Linked DNA regions of Kluyveromyces lactis. The protein of the gene in region 1 interacts with the protein of each later gene in a biochemical or structural test. Links are inferred from orthologs where the notes say so. Each region holds a gene or a part of one and is shown on either strand. Other genes may lie near its edges.

Region 1 (2,932 bases):
TCCTCAAATGATGTATCTCACATTTTCATTGATATCTGGAAATATGGCCACGCTCTATGCAACAAGAAAGAAGTTATTGAAAGTGTCAAGATAAAGCTGATAAGGTATGGTGGGCTATTGAAAGAAAAGTTCCCCCACACCAATACCATGGTCGACTTTGGCATTTTGGAGATTCTTAGAGTGGATGACTCCTCAGTATTGAAAGCTGAAGCTTTAAATATTGGAATATCTCAGTAGAAATTGCCAACGGATGATATATTACTATCTTCTACTATTTATAACATTATCATAGTTGTTATGTATCTCTGAAAATGTATATAATATATACAAGACCCTAAACTTTTTATCCAAAGAATGTAAGGAAAAAAAAAAAATGCAAAAAAAAAAAAAATTGAATTGAGTATAAATGATACAACGGCTTTGCGTGGTCTCAAGCTCGTTAATAAACTCCCTATCGAGTTTCACTCCAGTAATCGGAAATATGAAATAAATCTTTACCATTAGATGCCACCTCTTAATCTCAAGACAAGATGTAAAGTGGATTCCTTTTGGATGTTATAGTCAGACAAGGTTCTGCCATCTTCCAACTGCTTACCTGCAAAAATTAATCTTTGTTGGTCTGGAGGAATACCTTCTTTGTCTTGAATCTTAGACTTGACGTTATCGATGGTGTCGGAAGATTCGACTTCCAAAGTGATGGTCTTACCAGTCAAGGTTTTGACGAAAATTTGCATACCACCTCTTAATCTCAAGACAAGATGTAAAGTGGATTCCTTTTGGATGTTATAGTCAGACAAGGTTCTGCCATCTTCCAACTGCTTACCTGCAAAAATTAATCTTTGTTGGTCTGGAGGGATACCTTCTTTGTCTTGAATCTTAGACTTGACGTTATCGATGGTGTCGGAAGATTCGACTTCCAAAGTGATGGTCTTACCGGTTAAGGTTTTGACGAAAATTTGCATACCACCTCTTAATCTCAAAACAAGATGCAAAGTGGATTCTTTTTGGATGTTGTAATCGGACAAGGTTCTGCCATCTTCCAACTGCTTACCTGCAAAAATTAATCTTTGTTGGTCTGGAGGGATACCTTCTTTGTCTTGAATCTTAGACTTGACGTTATCGATGGTGTCGGAAGATTCGACTTCCAAAGTGATGGTCTTACCGGTTAAGGTTTTGACGAAAATTTGCATACCACCTCTTAATCTCAAAACAAGATGCAAAGTGGATTCTTTTTGGATGTTGTAATCGGACAAGGTTCTGCCATCTTCCAACTGCTTACCTGCAAAAATTAATCTTTGTTGGTCTGGAGGGATACCTTCTTTGTCTTGAATCTTAGACTTGACGTTATCGATGGTGTCGGAAGATTCGACTTCCAAAGTGATGGTCTTACCAGTCAAGGTTTTGACGAAAATTTGCATACCACCTCTTAATCTCAAGACAAGATGTAAAGTGGATTCCTTTTGGATGTTATAGTCAGACAAGGTTCTGCCATCTTCCAACTGCTTACCTGCAAAAATTAATCTTTGTTGGTCTGGAGGGATACCTTCTTTGTCTTGAATCTTCGATTTCACGTTATCGATGGTGTCAGAAGATTCAACTTCCAAAGTGATAGTCTTACCAGTTAAAGTCTTAACGAAAATTTGCATGTTTTCTCTTGATCTAGTTTTAAGGGGAATGAGAGGGGGGGGGGTAAATAATTTGGGGTGAAATAGTATAACCTTGAGTCAGTATCTTCTATGAGAGAAACTCTTGATGCTCCTTCTTAACCAATATGATGTTGTTAATAATATCAGGAAACAAACTGCCAAAATAACCCTTTTGTTTTTATATATACTCCCTTTTTTTTTTAAAAAAAAAGGAACTTGTTCGCTTATTTCTTTTATTTTATCTCCCTATCAGTTCTTACTAATAACGGAGAATATAGCACAAAAAATGAAAATAAGAACAATAATGATAGCTGCTATGCTGTCCAAACTTTCAGAATAGATATATGAATGCGATATAGGTAGTAATAGTATCTAACCCGAATAATATCTTAGAAAAAGATAAACGTATTTAGAGAATAAACGGGGGAAAGAACAATCAGAAGTGGCAAATACGAGAGAAAAAAAGGCGGCCGCCCAAGTGATCACTATTTATATAAAAGCATCCAGTGTAATCAGTTTCGCTCGGCCTAAGGTGGCCGTTTGAAAAGAAAAATTTCCCGAGAGGGAATTCGATGGAAAACCGGCAGTTTGGAATCTGTTACGTTGCAGCCATCTCTGTATTTCAGCCTTGTATCTTTAACTGTTTGCAATGAATCTTTTCTCCGGCTTACAGATCGCCATGACTTGAGGTTTATGATTGCATGACGAAGAGCGGGGATATATGGAATGAACTGCTAACTTTGATTGTTCAGAGTAAAGAGCATACCGCTTTGTATCCACTGATACCTTCTGCAGTACAGTGTGTATATGCAGAGGTAACCATGGAAACTCATGGAACAATGAAGTTTATCCTTTTTTTTTAGACTTGCGGGGAGAATCTAAGATACAGACAGACGAAAAAAGTGACTCGAAGTCATCCACGTGATTAAATCAGGGTAACATACATCATATTTTATCTGCCTGGCTTCTCCTAAATTCATTCTTGACCTTTCAGATGCTCCCGGAACATACCCAGGCCAAATATCTCTGTCATTGAGGTTCCTGGCGGGATAATTCGGACTGCCCAGAATCTCTTCGATATTACTTGTCTTATAGTCCTAGATGACACTTTTTTTTCGACTCTTTTTATGATAGCGGTGTTCTTAACGCCTTTGTCGTATACTCAGGTGACACTTTCCATCATATTGAGCTGTATGGTCTTTCTCCATTCAGCATCCGAGGAAAGGGACTTCATTAAGTAAGGAGTCCAAGAAGTTCTCTGATAGGCATGTAGGCTGCCGTAGGCG
Region 2 (3,865 bases), on another chromosome or scaffold:
TCCGTTACTTTTGTCTACCCAACAGCAAGAGCCTTTGTTGAATCAGGATGAGTTAGATTTTCACACGATAATTCAACATGAAAGATCCCAGGACATATCAAAAATCCACTCTGCTGTGCAAGAGGTCAATGCCATCTTCAAACAACTAGGAAGTCTGGTACAGGAACAGGGCGAACAAGTTGACACAATTGGCGAAAATGTGACAGGATTATCTAATAATTTGCAAAAGGCGAACAAAGAACTTCACAAAGCAAATGAATATCAAAGGAAAAAGAACAGATGTGGTACAATACTTCTAGTAGCTATTGTTGTTATCACTCTAATAACTCTTATCGCGATTCTATCATAGGGTTAGATTCTACGAGGAATGTAACTATATATTAATACAAAATTTATCTCTGGCCTTATACTTGGATGAAAGTTACGTTACGTTTTAGAGAACACGCATCATCAGGTAAATATGTCCGACTTAGAGGTTACAACTAATTATTAATCATAGCTTACTTGTCAGTATCCTTTTTAGTGCTTTCGGAGGAGTTATTTTTGGATAGTTCATAAGACTCAACATTCTTGAGATCTCCACGTTCAATGACAAGATTTTTGAGAAGTCTGTTTTCCATTTCAAGGGTATTGATTCTTTGCTTCAAGTCACAAGCTAACTGTGAAAGATCTTGGACCCAAGTTTCCATTTCTTTCTCTTTAAGTTTTTTAGTTTGATCCAAGTTCGGCAGTTTGGGTCTTGAAGAAAGGGTTGAGGAAGTGGACGACGATTCTACACCATCACTGGAGGAATTGTTTTTATCAGAATCAGTATTATGCTTTTTTTCGTTTATCTTCTCATCGAGACTCTTAGCAGCATTTTCCTTGTCATTGAGAAGTTCTTCCGATTGTCTCACCTCTTCCTTCAATTTAGCAGACGTTACATCCTTCCTAAGAGAGGAAGCTGATTCTAGTTTCCTGACAACTGATTTTGGTGTTTTACTGATACCATCATCCAGTGTTTGCTTTGCAGAATTCTCTTCGCTTTCTTTCTTTATGTTGTTAGAAATTGAGCCGTGGTGCACTTTCGGTGAGTTTTTCATATATGTATCAATAACTCTAGACTCTTTTTCCACTGGAGTTTTTTTGGCTCTTTTTGGATTAGGTTTATGGACACTTGATTGAGGAGATGGCTCAGGTTTTTCATGCAAAAAATCCAATAGCATGCCAACGGAGCTTTGAATATGTTCTTGAGGTTCAGGAACCAGTTGATTTTGCGAATTCACATCTATCGATGAGCCCAGATGGGAAGCTGACGATGGTGGTCTATTTGTAGAGTGATTATTTAAATTAGTTGGCTTCCTCACAGGAGGATCAAACTTTTCTCTTTCTCTTTCATAATAAGCCATAATAGCAGCTATGGCGTCAATCTGTTCTGGTTTAAAGCCAACATTACGCAAAGACTGGTAAGCACCTCTGGGAACATTAATGATAGGCAACAATGATACCAAAGTCGCAGTTTGTATTGTAGAGTAGTCTGGCATCTGTATATTTGATTCAAATCCTGATGTTGCAGCCGTACTTGGACGATACGGATTTTCGTTGCTATTGACATGATTATTACCATGGTTACTAGCTGTGTTGACGATTGAAGAGGCAGACGATACAGTGGTATTGGACGGATATGACATTGAAGTTAAATCATATGCGGCTAATAAATTTGTTAGTGGGGAAGTGGCAAACGGCATATCTCGTTGGCGGTTTGCACTTGTGCCATTTAGGTTGCCTGTATTATGACTATTGGATTGGTCTTGAACATCAAAGTGTGTAAATCCTCCATGATCGGGGATCGGAGAATTCTGTGTCGATGACCTTTTCCTCGAAAACCGTTGCCGCGTATGATCATACTGGTTTCCCAGCAGGTTTGATTTTCTATCGAACAAGTTTCTCTTTTCCGAAGAGTTTCTGTTATTATTATTATTATTATTATTATTATTATTATTATTGTTATTATTACTATTATGATTGTTACCACTGTTATTATTATTGTTATTGTCGATGTTATTATCATTAGTACTAGGATTAGCATTGTTGTTCAATCCGAAGTTATGGTTGCTGTTGTAATGGTCGCCGTTGTCATCGCTATCATGTCTATCAGCTTTGTCTTCATCTGGGAAAATAAAAGTCTCATCTGCGAAAACACTCAATTCCGCCGCTAAACGTTCATCCATCGCGAGCTGATTATCTGCACTTAAACCACCAACTTGATGATTCAAGGGCATCCCACTAAATGAATTTACAGTGTCACCATGAGGTCCCTCATTGTTGTAAAAAGAATTTGTCACATTGGGTCCAAAGTCAGAGTTAAAATCAGTAATAAAATTATCAACAAACGCTAGTTGTTCCAAAAGAATGCTAGGGGTAACATCATTATTCACATCAGCAGGGGGGTTAATCAACGAATGTAAGTGATTCGATGCGGTAGATGGAGAATGTGTCGAGAATTCCGGACTGTTCCCCCAAATGTTGTCCATACCTTGACTGGGATGACTATCATTAGGATTTCGAATATGATTATCCATATTCCTTGCACCAACACCGCTACTGCTGCTACCAGTGCGCTTAAGATTATTGGAAGTTCCACTATTCATAGCGGAAAGAATGAGAGAAGCCGGCTCGATAAATAAAGATTCACTGTCGTTATTCCCTGGAACTAAGGCTCAAATTTGAATGTGGCCTTTCACTCGATGCTGTTGATATCAACAGTAGACGATGATTGAAAATACTTTAGTTTGTATTATTCTTCAGCTCAGGTCTCGTGCAATTTCATCAAAAGTCGGGAAAAAAATGAGGAAAGGGAAAAGAAGAAGAAAAAAGTAATCACCAAACTGTGGAACGTCTATTACCCGGACAAGAAAATTACCCGGATACAGACATTACATCAGCCACAGTACAAACTGCACGTGATACGAAGCACGTGATTTGTGTTCCCTCGTGTTGTTCGCTTTTTTCTTTTCTTGCTTTCCTCCGGTTTCTGCGATCACCCGCGGAAAAATGTTTATTTATCCATCAGTATTAGTGCCTACATTCTCATTTCTCGAGTCAGTAAGCAACCCCGCATTTTATTGCTGGAGTGTTACCGCGTAGATGCTCTCACACAGATAGAAAAGCTCGCTGATCTAAAGAATGATTATACATATCGTAAAGAGAAAAAACAGCACACTAGTGACAGTTTGAAAATCCAGCACAGCAAGTAAACACTCATCCGATGCTCTCCCTATACCTGATCTTTCAGTACTAATGCCGACCGCCGGTTGCCGATCGCCGTTTGATTATTGTGTTTTGCTTGAGGTCGTTACCTGCGTTTGCCAAGTCTTTTTCTTCCTTCAAGATAAGGAGCTTGTAATCTAATCTTCAGAGATGAAAATCTGATAGATAGCGTAAACTAGGGAATCGACAAGACCCCATCGCAAATTATCGAGGACAAGAACAGGAGGTGCGATAAATATCTCCCGACTGACCTATGCATATCAAAAAAACTTTCTTGTCTCCTACCAGTTTGCTCTTACTGTTTCGTGAAATACGGATTAAAGTTTCCTTTTCCATGTTTCTTTTCCATTTTCCTGTGCTTTTCTTTTTTTTACAAAAAACTGGAAAGGAAAAATGAAAAAGAAACATAGTGAGGGTAAATACGGGTTGGTACGGGAAAAGAGCAGCAGAGACACAATTCTATTAGCAGGATAAAACGGCTACGATATTGCGGCTAGTAAAACACAATTTGATCATCTGTGTAAGTAAGAGCTATTGCTCCTTGCATAGATTACCTTGTTGCTCTATCTCCGTTCCTTCCTATCACCTGAGAATTTCCCTCCGTAGTTTTCTCGGT

The links. The genes of interacting proteins can lie anywhere in the genome.
Region 2: the proteins of UBI4 (region 1) and MET4 form a complex in vitro, tested with the Saccharomyces cerevisiae proteins (2 studies listed by BioGRID). The link is inferred for Kluyveromyces lactis from reciprocal best matches to the Saccharomyces cerevisiae genes UBI4 and MET4.

The regions. Positions count from the first base shown.
Region 1 is NC_006041.1:74,448-77,379, forward strand, and holds UBI4 (ubiquitin), read right to left. Parts: upstream 1,647-2,932; coding exon 501-1,646; downstream 1-500. Other genes in the region: ECM29 (Ecm29p), read left to right, coding at 1-237. UniProt on the Saccharomyces cerevisiae protein: Ubiquitin exists either covalently attached to another protein, or free (unanchored).
Region 2 is NC_006039.1:1,125,504-1,129,368, reverse strand, and holds MET4 (Met4p), read right to left. Parts: upstream 2,631-3,865; coding exon 501-2,630; downstream 1-500. Other genes in the region: SNAP receptor VAM3, read left to right, coding at 1-349. UniProt on the Saccharomyces cerevisiae protein: Positive trans-acting factor capable of stimulating the transcription of the MET genes from the methionine biosynthetic pathway. MET4, MET28 and CBF1 are required for full induction of MET25 and MET16 gene transcription.